Coturnix japonica: one gene and its partner. The protein of the gene in region 2 purifies or fractionates together with the protein of the main gene of each other region. This does not show direct contact. Links are inferred from orthologs where the notes say so. Each region holds a gene or a part of one and is shown on either strand. Other genes may lie near its edges.

Region 1 (7,368 bases), on a different chromosome or scaffold from region 2:
GTAGGTGGCGGTGATGCTCATAACCCCCTTTCCTTTTTTCCCTTTTCTGCTCCCCCCCAGGCCCTTGGCAGCATTTTTCAGTGTAGACATCATACAGTGCAGCACTCATGGTGTAATATTCCCCTTTGCCTCCAAGCAGTTACTTCAATCAGGGTACCTAACAAAACTGGGTGGTGCTAGGGCATAAAGCTTTGCCTGCAGGGCATGTCTGGTCACTTTAAGGGCAGGCCATCTCCTGGAGCACAGGAGGTTTTGCCTTTGGTATTTTATAGCCCCTATCTGAATGCTTGAGCTGTAACCACTTTGATATTGTTCTCCATGTGCTAAATGTGAGCATGTTTTTCAGCATCCTTGGGGTCATGCAGACTGTTGTGGTTATTCTGCTGAGCAGGGCTGTCCTTAACAGTCTGGGCACTGAAATCGGGACTTCATAGGGCTGTGCTGTAGGGAAGGAAGCTGTAGTGATAGGTCAAGGGGGAATGGTTTGAAACTGAGACAGGGGAGGTTTAGGTTGGATCTTAGGAGGAAGTTTTTCACCCAGAGGGTGGTGATGCACTGGAACAGGTTGCCCAAGGAGGCTGTGGATGCCCCATCCCTGCAGGCATTCAAGGCCAGGCTGGATGTGGCTCTGGGCAGCCTGGTCTGCTGGTTGGTGACCCTGCCCATAGCAGGGGGTTGAAACCAGTTGATCACTGTGGTCCTTTTCAACTCAGACCATTCTATGATGCTGTGAGTTCTATGATTCTCAGCTCAGTTAGTTTGTGAACTTTGTTAATAGTGTGAACTTGCTGGGCTGCGTGTTGAGATTGGACTAACAGCTCTGTCCTGGTTTCTCTCCTCAGCCAACACCGGTTATCCTGCTGAAGGAGGGCACTGACACCTCGCAGGGGATTCCTCAGCTCGTCAGCAACATCAATGCCTGCCAGGTGATCGCCGAGGCTGTACGCACCACCCTGGGACCACGGGGCATGGACAAACTCATTGTGGATGACAGAGGTGAGCACTGCACAGCAGCCTCTCTACAGCAAGACTGGGAAAGCTCTGTTCGATGTGTGTTGTTTCAAGGCAGTAAGAGCTTTATTTGGGGCTTAGCTTCTTTTTCTGAATTTCTTGTAGGCAAAGCCACCATCTCTAACGACGGGGCCACCATCCTGAAGCTCCTTGATGTTGTCCATCCGGCTGCGAAGACGTTGGTGGACATTGCTAAATCTCAGGATGCAGAGGTAGGAGGGTAACCTGGACAGGATGCAGCAGCATGTTGGCTTTGCGTTAAGTGGTCAAACTCGGTTGTGGCGTGCTGCTGTTTATCCTGGTTTCTTCATTGCTTTCATCTTTTTTGTGATAACTTTAAAACGCTTGGCTGGGTTTTCTGCCAGATTTAGTAGAAGGGTTTGGAGGCTTTATGGATGCAAAATGTCATGAACAGAGGTGGCTGGGAGATGGGAAACTTCAAACAGAGTGCAGTCTGAACCCAGCTTGTGCTTAATCACTGAAGGAATCAGCCACAGTTCTGTGAGCAATGAGAGTTAGGAAGTCTGTTTTCCTCTGGAGGCCTCTGCTGTACATAGGTGACTAAAGTGTTCTGTCCATACAGGTTGGTGATGGCACCACGTCCGTAACTCTGCTTGCTGCTGAGTTCCTGAAACAAGTGAAGCCCTACGTGGAGGAAGGCCTTCATCCTCAGATCATCATCCGTGCCTTCCGCACAGCCACACAGTTGGTAAGGCAGCACTGTGCAGAATGGGGTGGCTCTGCTTGGTCTTTTTTTTCCTGTTTTATTCCATTTTTCCTTTTCACTGGGTTAGAAGGCTTTTAAACATATGAGGATCACAGTAAAATCCCACCAGAGTCTGTTAAAAGTTATTTTTTTATGGTGTAAGAAGGAGGAAATTACTCTGGAACACCTCTCCTATGAAGAAAAGTTGAGGGAACTGGGCTTGTTTAGCTTGGAAAATAGAAGGGAATATGTAAACAGGAGGGGGAACAGCTGTTAATGAGGGTGGATAGTGATAGGACAAGGGGGAATGGTTATAAACAGGAGGTTTAGGTTGGATCTTAGGAGGAAGTTTTTCACCCAGAGGGTGGTGACACACTGGAACAGGTTGCTCAAAGGAGGCTGTGGATGCCCCATCCTTGCAGGCATTCAAGGCCAGGCTGGATGTGGCTCTGGGCAGCCTGGTCTGCTGGTTGATGACCCTGCCCATAGCAGGGGGTTGAAACCAGATGATTATCGTGGGCCTTTTCAGCCCAGGCCATTCTGTGATTCTGTAATTCATTTAGCATGTAATCATTAAAGCGGGAAGTGTTACAGCAGTCGGAATCAGTGATTTGTGCTTGGATTGTGACTGAGGTTGTATGTAAATGTGCTTGAACTCTACCTGCTGCTTCTGCATGTCTCTTAAAATTGCCCTACTGGAAAGGATGGGGTAGCTCAAGTGCTTGAAACTGCAGTGATGTTGAAGGAGGGAAAAAAGCATAAAATACAAAAAGGAATTGGAGAACTGATCAGCTGACAAGCATGAATCATTAATCCAACTGTTGGTTTGTGTTTTGCCAGGCTGTAAACAAGATCAAAGACATTGCTGTGTCAGTGAAGAAGGAAGATAAAGAGTAAGTTTCCTTTAAGGTTGACCTGGTTGTGCTTTTCTGCCTTCTGCTCTCAGTCTGGCTGAGATCTCAAGGATGGGATGAGCAGTTGTTGCCCAGTGGTGGAGTTGGGTGTCAGAATTTCCTGCCTCTCTGGGAAGGATGCTGTGCTCTCCCTTGGGCTTCCACTGCAGCCAGGGATATAGGCCAGTGTTTCCATGTGCACATAGGGGAAGCTAAGGACAGAAATAAGTGGTCTGATTTCTTTTTTCAAGTGATAGTGGAGATGTGGCTCTTCCTGAAATCAGTGGCAGTGTTAAACACTCAGTGCTCCCCTGAAAGTCAAATCAGTATTTAGGTGTTGAATAGCTGCAGTTCAAGCTAATCACATTACTGAGATGATTATTAATTTTTAAGCTCTATGTCTGCTTGATCAGACCATAACTAGCACCTCCATTAAAACTTCAAGGTCGGACCTTTTTGTTCTTCCCCCATTACAGCGAGCAGAGGAGCCTGCTGGAGAAGTGTGCAGCCACAGCCCTGAGCTCTAAGCTGATCTCCCAGAGCAAGGAGTTTTTTTCCAAGATGGTTGTGGATGCTGTCATGATGTTGGATGACTTGCTGCAGCTCAAAATGATTGGAATCAAGAAGGTGCAAGGAGGTGCTCTGGAAGTAAGTTCTCCTGGGGCCTTGGGTAGGAGGCAGTGATTGCAGCTTGTTTGAGTTGACCCTGGCATAAATGCAGCCTGATAACAACATCTGTTGGGGAGCTACCAAAGCAAAGTACTTCTACCTCGTTGCCTTCACAGCAGATATAATTAGTGATCCAAACATCATTTAGATGGAGGGAGAATGGCTGTTTATGAGGGTGGATACTGAATAGGACAAGAGGGAATGGTTTTAAACTGAGATGGGGGAGGTTTAGGTTGGATATTAGGAGGAAGTTTTTCACACAGAGGGTGGTGATGCACTGGAACAGGTTGCCCAAGGAGGCTGTGGATGCCCCATTCCTGCAGGCATTCAAGGCCAGGCTGGATGTGGCTCTGGGCAGCCTGGTCTGCTGGTTGGTGACCCTGCCCATAGCAGGGGGTTGAAATCGGATGATCATTGTGGTCCATTTCAACCCAGGCCATTTTGTGTGGATTCTGTGATTGTATCTTTGCAAAAAAAAAACCCAACAAAGTATGTTGGAGAGCCTGGTGTGTGATGCTTTCTCCTCCCTGTATCCTATCCAGATTTGGCCTCTTGCTCTTTCACTTCAGGGGGCAGTGTTGGGCAGTGTTGTCCTTCTGCAGAGCTTGTGAAAGCAAACCAGGGCACTCACACATGGAAAAAAAACAAACCCTGAAGTGCAGGGCTGTGAATGAGAAGTATCCGTCTTCAAAGGATAGAAATGGGAAAGACATCAGAGAGAGAACAGATTGCTCCATCCCTTGATCTCGAGATTGTGAATAGCATCTTTCTCTGTGGTGTCTTGAGGGATAGAAAGGAGATGATAGAAGCTGGTTTTGTGAACAGGGAGAAGAAAATATTTGCTGCTTATTTGCTTCAAAAGTGGGTTAGTCAAAGGAGACAGCTGTTGGTGGGAGCTTTGTAAAGGAGGGTTCTCAAGCAGGAGGTTTCCTTTGGGAGTTATTAAGTCTGCTGAGAAAACCCTGGGATGTTGAGCCTGACAAATAGCCCTTCTCTTCAAGGATTCCCAGCTGGTGGCCGGAGTTGCCTTTAAGAAGACATTCTCTTACGCTGGGTTTGAAATGCAGCCCAAGAAGTATCAGTCTCCCAAGATTGCTTTGCTGAATGTGGAGCTGGAGCTCAAAGCTGAAAAGGACAACGCTGAAGTCCGAGTAAACACAGTGGAGGTAAGAGCTGGAATGGGAGCCTGTCCCCCTCCTGTTTGTCTCCTGGGCTGTCAAGGAGCTGGGCACTCTGTGATTGCCATCTGCACATCTTCCCTCCTGAGGTTATCTTGTGTGTTATGCTGGGGGAATAGTATGAATATTGCTACCTTTTACTCAAGTCATCCAGCCCCTTTATATCCTTGGTTCTGCTGCTGGAAGCACTTGAACAGATGTAGTTCTTTGTCATAGAATGACCTAAAATTTCCTTGAGAAAGCAGTTGGCTGCTGTGGATGGCTGCGTGGAGCAGCATTACTGCTGCCTTTGCTTTAGCAGAGCTCTCCCTTGGCTGGTGCTGTGGGGTGGCATTTGCAGTCCCATTACAAATCCTATTAATGTGTATTGCCTGTTTTTCTCATGCCTGCTAGGATTACCAGGCCATCGTGGATGCTGAATGGAACATCCTGTATGACAAACTAGACAAAATCCATAAGTCTGGAGCCAAAGTCGTCCTGTCCAAGCTGCCCATCGGTGATGTGGCCACCCAGTACTTTGCAGACAGGGACATGTTTTGTGCTGGCCGTGTCCCAGAGGAAGATCTCAAGCGAACTATGATGGTGAGCTGCTTTGTTTTGGCATAAAGACTTTGGATTTAGCTTGAATGTTGTCAGGCTGGTCAGGCCTCTCCCAAACCAAAACAGCCACGAGTTGCTGAACACACTGTTCCTTACAAGGATGTAAAAAGGAAAATAACACTCATTTTTTTTAATGTATTTTTTGCCCAAATGATGATGATGTAGAACTGCAACATAGTAACAAAACTATTCCTTGGTGGAAGAAATAACTGCAGGCTGATTGCTACTGTGCTGCCTTTTTTCCTCTGCTGCTGAATTGTATAAGGGTCTGTATGTTGTGTGTTGGTAGAAGTTTATTTTCCCTGCTCCTTGCCTGTTTTCCTTAAGCCACCTTTGTGTAGCTACTGAACTCTGGAGCCTGTGGCTCAGCTTTTAGTAACATCATCATCTTTTGCTGTCGAGGGTTATTTCTATTCCTGGTAGCCTGCTTAGATATATGATGGGAGGAAACTAGAAAGTGGGAGCCTGCTGGGCAGGTTTGTCTCATTTGTCAGCACTGGTAATGCCACGCTTTATCTTCTTCCCCTGCAGGCCTGTGGTGGTTCCATTCAGACCAGTGTGAATGCCCTGTCAGATGATGTACTGGGCCGGTGTGAGCTCTTTGAGGAGACTCAGATCGGAGGAGACAGGTAAATGTGCCAGCTGGGAACACACAGCCCTGTGGGAGCATGGGTGATACTGGTTTGGAAAGTTGGGGTATGAGCGTGAGCAGCTTTGAGCATCTCTCTGGGTGATGGTGTGAAAACAAAGGTTGCATGATTAATTCCTTTAATGAGCATGGGGAATGAGCTCTCATTTAGGTCTTACCCCTTTTAGATGCATTTATGTTTCTTTATTCCTCAAGAACCCTGTAGAAGGCTTAGTGGTATTTTCATTCGTAACTCCAAAGCAACACCTTTTTGGGGTCTTGTATATGGACTTGCTCAGCTTTGGATCTTATGGGGTCACTGTGGGGTGGGACAGCTGCAGCCATGCATTTGGGTTGGGAATAATTTCTCTGTCCCCGTGTGGTGTCCCAGTGGTGCTGAGCCTGTTGAGGAGCAGCACTGCTTTTCAGTCTCCTTACCCTTTCTTGTGTCACGCATTGACAGGTATAACTTCTTCACGGGCTGCCCAAAGGCAAAGACTTGCACGATAATCCTGCGTGGAGGTGCAGAGCAGTTCATGGAAGAGACAGAACGGTCCCTGCATGATGCCATCATGATAGTCAGGAGAGCTATCAAGGTAAGGGCCAGCAGAAGCAATTCCCTGCTGGGGTTGAGCAGACACTGAGGCTGTTGATCACACCCGGCACAGCTGCAGCTATTTCCAGCAGTGCCTTCACACCTCAACGTTTGGCTGAGGTCTCTCTGAGAGAAACCCAATGCTCTCAGCCTGCAGAGTGGAGCATGCAGACAAGCAGTGTCTAGTTGATTAACTCAAGTGCTATTCCTTGGCTACGGCAGAATTCTCACAGCTGCATTGCCAGCTGCTTTTCAGGCATGCCTGGTTTTGTCTCCTCTGTTACAAGTGCTGTGACTTAACTGTGCTTGCTGGGTTGTGGTGTGTTCTATAAACACCTTCACTAAGAAGGGGGTTGGGATCTTTTGGGAGTGCTGGGTGGGAATAGCAGGGCTGATCTAATGTGCCTGTTAGCTTCTCAGTCTCATGTGTGCCTGTTCATGCTGCATGTTGCCTCTGTTGGTGACTTCTGGGAAGGGCTGGTGTTGGCAGGTGGAGGTGGGCAGGTGACACCAAGAGGGAAGCCTGAGGCCCATGTGACTGTACTGTACTTGCAGAGTTGCTGGTCCTGCATGATGGCTGTTCTCTGCATGTGGGTATTTCTGGGTTGTGCGTAATGCGTGGGGATGGGTTTTTTTTTCCCCCTTAAGCCTGAGTGCCCTGAGGGGATGGGAAGAAGCATGTCAAGATTTTTTGGAGCTGCTTTGCTTTCAGAAAGAACATCCTGATCCTTTCTACTGAAGCAGATAGGGAGGGAGAAAAAAATAGTTAGCAGAACTTGGCTGCTGAGTGCTGCTGCAAATCTCGTCTGTTCTGAATGTTTCACAACGGGGGGGAGCTTGTCCTGCACAAGGGTAGCTGAGGTTTGCTAGCACAGCCCTGCACACCATCCCCCTGGCTTGCAGGTGGCAGGAAGGAGCTGCTGGCAGAGGCTGCCTGAGGTGCTCCCAGGGGGGTGGTGGTGGCCTGGGCAGTATAGATTCCCCTGGGCCTGATGTATGTGCATTACCCCAGCATGCTGTAGGCCTTTGGGAAAAGGGGTTTTCCTGCTCTTCCCCCTTTTGTGCAACAAAGAGTAAGCACAGCCTGT
Region 2 (6,692 bases):
GCTGCGGGCTCCGCGCTGTTTCCTGCTGTTGGCCGCGGGCACCCGCGACACTGCGGACATTGCGGCCCCCCCGAGCAGTGCGGGACCGTCGGGCCTCGCGGGGCCTCGCCCTCACCCCGCGCTCCCCGCAGCCCCAGCCGCGATGGATGACATCTTCACGCAGTGCCGGGAGGGCAACGCGGTGGCCGTGCGGCTGTGGTTGGACAACACCGAGAATGACCTCAACCAGGGGTGAGCGGGGGGGCGGGGGATGCTCCGGGGCTCGTTTCCGCCCCGTGTCCGTGGGGGGGGGGGCGGTGGGATGCGGCTCCTCCCCGCCGGAGGAAGTTACCGCATCGCTGAGGCATGAGCGCCAAACATCCTCCGTCCGCCCCCTCGGACACCGCCGTTGTCCCGGTGTCCGGCCGTGGGTTGGGGGGGGGGCGTTGGGAGGAGCCTCCCCCCAAAGGGGGCTGCAGGGCGAGGTGACCTCAAGTAACCCCTGACCCCAGGGGCACCGCTGTGCCCTCCCGTCCCCCAGAGCTGGGCTGGGCTGGGCTGTATCCCCGGGGCTGCTATTGCTTGATATGGGCTGTTATTGGTTGTTATGGGGTATTATTGGTTGTTATGGGGTATTATTGGTTGTTATGGGGTATTATTGCTTGTTATGGGGTATTATTGGTTGTTATGGGGTATTATTGGTTGTTATGGGGTGTTCGGCTCCAGCCCAGCGCTGTGTGCCACGGGAACGGTGCTGGCAGTGCACTGGATGGCCCCGGTTCTGCTGGAGCTGAGGGCAGTGGGGCTGCTATATCCCCATCCCCATCCCCATCCCCATCCCCATCCCCGCCTACTGGGCCCTAATCTCCTTTTAAGGCCCGGCTGCCGCCTCCTCCCTTACTTGGCCAGGCACGGCTGCGAGCAGATGGGGGGGGCATGGGGGGGCTCCTGGTCCTCAGCAGCCTCTGCTGCTCCAGCCATGAGGACGATGGAACGTGGTCGGGGCCCTCCTGGGGGTGGGCAGAGCAGGGGCAGCACTTGGGCTGCTCCTCACAGCATGGCAGGGTGCAGCGTGGCTTTGGGGCTGTGTGGCTGCTGCTGTTGGGTGCTGAGCAGTGGGAGCAGAACTCACCTCCCTGCCCTTGGGGCTGCAGCATCCCTTGGGCTCGGAGCTGTGCCTCACTCAGCCAGGCCAGGAGCTGAGGGGCCCGTGGAGCTGCAGGATGGTATGGGGTCTCCTCCAGTGCTATTCCCCAGTGCTCCCCTGAGATACAGCCCTGCGTGCTCCCAGCACATCCTCACCGCTGTCCCCTCAGGGATGACCACGGCTTCAGCCCCCTGCACTGGGCCTGTCGCGAGGGCCGCTCCAACGTGGTGGACATGCTGATCATGCGCGGAGCGCGCATCAACGTCATGAACCGCGGCGACGACACCCCGCTGCACCTGGCGGCCAGCCACGGCCACCGCGACATCGTGCAGAAGGTACCAGCTCCCCAAACACTGCACAGCCACAGTCAGACTCACTGTGCCCAGCAGGCCCTGCCCCACTGCTCCCTGCCCCACTGCTCCCTGCCCCACTGCTCCCTGCCCCCTCCATGCACTCACTGCACCCACCTCTGGGTGCTCCCACCATCCCCTCGCAGCCTTCAGCCCCTTCCTATCAGCAGCCCCTGCTGTGAGTGCATTCCCCCCCCCTCAGTGCACTGGAAGGGACCCACTCTGGGCTCACCAGGACTGTCCTGCCTGCAGCTGATCCAGTTCAAAGCGGACATCAACGCGGTGAATGAGCACGGGAACACCCCTCTGCACTACGCCTGCTTCTGGGGACACGACACGGTGGCAGAGGTGAGAGCAGCACCTGGATACAGGAGCACAGGGGATGGCAGGGGGGAGGCTGGGTGTGTAGGAAGGGGCTGAGAAAACAGCAGCAGCTGTGGGTGCTCAATTTCTTCTTCCTCAGGACCTCGTGGGTAACGGGGCCTTGGTCAGCATTGCCAACAAATACAGCGAGACGCCCATTGACAAAGCCAAGATGCCTCTGCGGGAGATCCTGAAAGGTAGGAGGCTCCCACCTGCACCCAGTCCCTGCCTCTGGCTGCTGCAGCCCTGAAGCTCAGCACCATGGGCTGCTTCGCTGTCCAACTCTTCATTTGCTTCCAGAGCATGCAGAGAAGCTGGGCCAGAACCTGACCAAGATCCCCTACAAAGACACCTTCTGGAAGGGCACGACCCGCACGCGGCCCCGTAAGGACAGAGGCTTCCTGCAGAGCTGGGGGCACGGATCTGTGTGCTGGGGTGGAACTCAGGGCTGAGGGGCAGCGCTTGGCACAGCACGTGGCTCAGTGGGGCAAGGGAGGCTCCCTTAGTGCAGTGCCTTTGCACACAATGCTGGTGCTGCTCCTCCTGCAGCCCCCAGACAGGAGGAAAGTCCCATGCAATCCTTTCTTCTTACAGGAAATGGGACCCTCAACAAACTTGCTGGAATAGACTACAAACAGCTGAGCTTGAGCCAGAAACTCAATGAGAACCAATCAGGAGAGGTATGGAGGCTGTTTCCTTGCTGGGACATCAGGTGCTCCCTCAGCCCCTGGCTGTACACAGAGCACAGAAGGGGTACGGCTGCTTGGGGGGCGTCCAGGCCCCGCTGTGGGGCCGGCTGCAGGCTGGGACAACTCACAGCTCATTGCGGTCACTGCGCCTCACTGCAGGATCCAGGCCCTGCACAGCGGGCTGAGGGGTGGACTGAGAGCCCCCCATCACAGTGATCGTATCCATCTGTCTCCCTTCAGCTGTGGAAGGGACGCTGGCAAGGCAACGACATCGTCGTCAAATTGCTGAAGATTCGGGACTGGACAACTCGGAAGAGCCGAGACTTCAACGAGGAGTACCCGAAGCTGCGGTAAGTGGCAGCATCCTCATCCTCCCCAAAGGAGCCAAGGCCCCTGAGGGTGGGCACCATCCCTGGGGTGGGGGGTTGAGACGGGAGCCCACAGGGTGAGCAGAGGCTGGTGGGGGCAAGGCAGCCACCAGAGGGGAGGGCAGGGAAGATGCAGGGCTGTGAGCAGCAACTCAGCACCGTCACTTCTCTTGCAGGATCTTCTCTCACCCCAATGTTCTGCCAGTGCTGGGTGCCTGCCAGGCCCCCCCGGCCCCCCATCCCATTGTCATCAGCCACTGGATGCCCTACGGCTCCCTCTACAACGTGTTACACGAGGGGACAAGTGAGTGCTAACAGATGACACAGCTGAGGCAGGCGCTGGTCACTCTGTCCTTGGGGGGGGGGGCTGCTTCTCTGTACACGGGGGGCAGCAGCACCGACTCCTCCAGCTGCAGCTCCAGGGTGGCCACGAGGAGCTCAGTTTGCAGCCTGCGTGTCCCTGCTCCGAGTGCTGCCATCCCTGTCCCCTCCCACACGTGACACTCATTCCTCAGTGACCCCCAGTGCCTCCTCCCTCCCTGCAGACTTTGTGGTGGACCAGATGCAGGCAGTGAAATTCGCTTTCGACATAGCTCGGGGCATGGCCTTCCTGCACACGCTGGAGCCCCTCATCCCACGGCACCACCTGAACAGCCGCAGCATCATGGTGAGTGCTGCTGCCTGCAGCCCATGGGCTGGGCTGTGGGTGGCTCTGACTGCATCTCACTCCCCAGATCGACGAGGACATGACGGCAAGGATCAGCATGGCCGACGTGAAGTTCTCCTTCCAGTGCCCCGGGCGGATGTATGCGCCCGCATGGGTGGCACCAGAAGGTGAGTGTGAGACAGTCGGGCCCCTCCTGCTGCTTTGCCCCCTTCCCTGCCCTTCTCAGCCCCTGTGCTGCACTGGATTCTCTGCAGCCCTGCAGAAGAAGCCAGAGGAAATTAACAGGCGCTCGGCGGACATGTGGAGCTTCGCGGTGCTGCTATGGGAGCTGGTGACCCGCGAGGTGCCATTTGCAGACTTGTCCAACATGGAGATAGGAATGAAGGTGAGGGGGGAGGGGACCAAAGCAGTGTGAGCACAGCTGGGTCAGCAGGGAGCACAGGCAGGGCTCCATGGAGAGCACAGTGGCATGGAGAGCTCCATGTGCCCACCACAGGCAGGGCTGTGTCCAGCTGGCTGACCCTGCTCTGCCCGCTCCCAGGTGGCCCTGGAGGGGCTCCGTCCAACCATCCCCCCCGGCATCTCCCCACACATCTGCAAGCTGATGAAGATCTGCATGAACGAGGACCCAGCCAAGCGCCCCAAGTTCGACATGATCGTGCCCATCCTAGAGAAGATGCAGGACAAGTAGAGGGAGGTGCCTCCCCGATGTCCGCCGCTGCCATGCTCCCTTCCCCACCACTTCCAAGTGCCTTTAACCCCAGAGCTAAGGGGGAGCAGGGGCTGCCCCCTCACCCTGAGCCAGCCATGGACACACGGTACAGGCGATGCTGCCTTCCCTGGAGCCGCTCTGTGGGCTTCGGGCTCTGTAGCACCGATCTATGGCAGCACCTCCACCCTCCCTGGCAGCTGTGGGCAGACTGAGCAGGACACCTGGATGCAGCCACTGAGCGTGGTGGGGCTCTGCCGCCCTGAAGCCACGTCATGCTCCCAGGCCCAGGGCAGCTCTCCCACTTGGTCTCATGCTGACAGTGTCCAGTCCTGGTGCTCTTCCCTGCTAAGGACAGCAGGGGAAAGTTGCCTTTTTGTGCCCAGCACCACCCCAGCTTCGCGCTTCACTTTTTATCATTTCCATCCAGGCCACGTGGAAAAGCCGCCAGCATCTGAAATAAATATTTGTTATGAAAACTGGCCACGGGCCGAAGGGTGCGTTGATACCTCAATAGGCTGCTGGGAGAAGGGCTGCCCTTGGCACATGGAGCCCTGGGCGCTGGAGCTGCTCTGTGCCAAACCCAGAGCGAGGCAGAGGAGCCTGGCTGCAGCTGCAGCAGCCGTCACAGCCCCAGAACCTTCCTCTTACGAGACATGCTACAGGGAAAGAAAGCACAGAGGAAGCTGGGCGCTTCTGTTTGCACGATGCCCACAGCCCTGCAGCAGCTCAGGGCAGGCTGAGCCCTCCAGGAGATGCAGCTGCAGTTCCCTGCTGTGCAGCCCTCAGCCATCACCTTCTGTTGGTGCTGGCAGAGCAGAACTCCGTGGGCCAAATGCTGCTGCTGCACTGACAGCAGGAGGGCGGCAGGAAACGGGGGGTCTTTCCACCAGAAAAAAAACTACCCATTGGTTTAATGGAGCAGAAGCAAACCCTAGAAAAGTCCCCAGCAACGAGCCCTGCTTTCACGTGAAGTAGTGCGGCTTCTTCACATTGATGCCGTATTCCGCCAGGGCGGGCGTCAGGTCCTCCATGGTCAGAGTGTATTTCTTGTCCTGGGGACAAAGGGCAGCATCACTCACAGCACAGACACAGCACAGATAGATACATCACTCATAGCACACAGACACAGCACAGATACATCACTTGTAGCACAAACACAGCACAGACACAGCACTCATAGCACACAAACACAGCACAGACACCTCGTGCCTTCAGCCCTTGGTTGGGGTTTTGACCCTCATTGGAGCAGTCCATGTGTGTGTGATGCCCAGTGGCTGGGCATTAACCAGCACCAAGTGCCTGAAAGCTGCATCTGCTCTTTGCCCTCCACAGCAGAGAAACGCACTGAGCATTACTCAGCGCATCTATTGCACTGCCCCTAAGCCACAATTGGGGCTGTGTGGATTCCAGAAGCTATTTCTACACGCTTCCTCCCTTTATCTTTTTCCCTCAGCGTTAGTTTGGTGCCATCAGGGCTGGGTGGCCCTGCAGTATCTCCATACACAGCACTGCCCACCTCCTGCCCACCACGCTCCCTCCCATTTAGTCAGCACACATCAGCCTCCCATGAGGTTCAATAAGGACAAGTGCAGGGTGATGCATTGGGTTGGGGCAACACCAGGTGTGTGTACAGACTGGGGGAAAGTCTCCTTGAGAGCAGCCCTGCAGAGGACTTGGGGGGTGAGAAGCTGGATATGAGGCAGCAGTGTGTGCCTGCAGCCTGGAAGGCAACTGTGTGCTGGGCTGCATTTAAAGGGGCGGCCAGCAGGGACAGGGAGGGGATTGTCCTCTTCTACTCAGCTCTTGTGAGCTCATATCTCAGTGCTGAGTCCAGGCCTGGGGCCTCCAGCACAGGAAGGACATGGAGCTCTTGGAGGGTCCAGAGGAGGCCACTGAGATGAGCAGAGGGGCTGGAGCAGCTCTGATATGAGGAAAGGATGAGGGAACTGGGCTGGTTTGGGTTGGAGAAGAGAAGGCTGCGGGGAGACCTCATTGTGGGCATCCAGTACTTGAAGGGAGCGAATAAACAGGAGGGGGAACGGCTGTTTGTGAGGGTGGGCAGTGATAGGACAAGGGGGAATGGTTTGAAAGTGAGACAGGGGAGGTTTAGGTTGGATCTGAGGAGGAAGTTTTTCCCCCAGAGGGTGGTGACGCACTGGCACAGGTTGCCCAAGGAGGCTGTGGATGCCCCATCCCTGCAGGCATTCAAGGCCAGGCTGGATGTGGCTCTGGGCAGCCTGGGCTGCTGGTTGGTGACCCTGCACACAGCAGGGGGTTGGGATGGATGAGCACTGTGGTTCTGTGCAACCCAGGCCACGCTGTGACTCTGTGACCCAGGTCAATGCCTGGCAGTGCCCCCCATCACACCCACCTTGCTCTTGTTGCGGGAGCTCCCCGAGGCCGTTCCCTTCATCTTG

Evidence for each region. The genes of interacting proteins can lie anywhere in the genome.
Region 1: the proteins of ILK (region 2) and CCT7 purify together in Homo sapiens (affinity purification with mass spectrometry; 4 studies listed by BioGRID and IntAct, with this or other methods). This does not show direct contact. The link is inferred for Coturnix japonica from reciprocal best matches to the Homo sapiens genes ILK and CCT7.

What each region holds. Positions count from the first base shown.
Region 1 is NC_029519.1:81,264,515-81,271,882, reverse strand, and holds part of CCT7 (T-complex protein 1 subunit eta), read left to right. Parts: intron 1-842; coding exon 843-1,223; intron 1,224-1,594; coding exon 1,595-1,720; intron 1,721-2,557; coding exon 2,558-2,610; intron 2,611-3,086; coding exon 3,087-3,258; intron 3,259-4,280; coding exon 4,281-4,445; intron 4,446-4,850; coding exon 4,851-5,039; intron 5,040-5,588; coding exon 5,589-5,686; intron 5,687-6,148; coding exon 6,149-6,281; intron 6,282-7,368. UniProt on the Homo sapiens protein: Component of the chaperonin-containing T-complex (TRiC), a molecular chaperone complex that assists the folding of actin, tubulin and other proteins upon ATP hydrolysis.
Region 2 is NC_029516.1:173,988,266-173,994,957, reverse strand, and holds the end of ILK (integrin-linked protein kinase), read left to right. Parts: intron 1-131; coding exon of another isoform or gene 132-142; coding exon 143-231; intron 232-1,295; coding exon 1,296-1,461; intron 1,462-1,728; coding exon 1,729-1,824; intron 1,825-1,939; coding exon 1,940-2,036; intron 2,037-2,139; coding exon 2,140-2,223; intron 2,224-2,433; coding exon 2,434-2,519; intron 2,520-2,768; coding exon 2,769-2,878; intron 2,879-3,072; coding exon 3,073-3,200; intron 3,201-3,441; coding exon 3,442-3,563; intron 3,564-3,630; coding exon 3,631-3,730; intron 3,731-3,817; coding exon 3,818-3,948; intron 3,949-4,104; coding exon 4,105-4,254; 3' UTR 4,255-4,754; downstream 4,755-6,692. Other genes in the region: RRP8 (ribosomal RNA-processing protein 8), read right to left, coding at 132-153; TAF10 (transcription initiation factor TFIID subunit 10), read right to left, coding at 5,238-5,327, 6,647-6,692. UniProt on the Homo sapiens protein: Scaffold protein which mediates protein-protein interactions during a range of cellular events including focal adhesion assembly, cell adhesion and cell migration.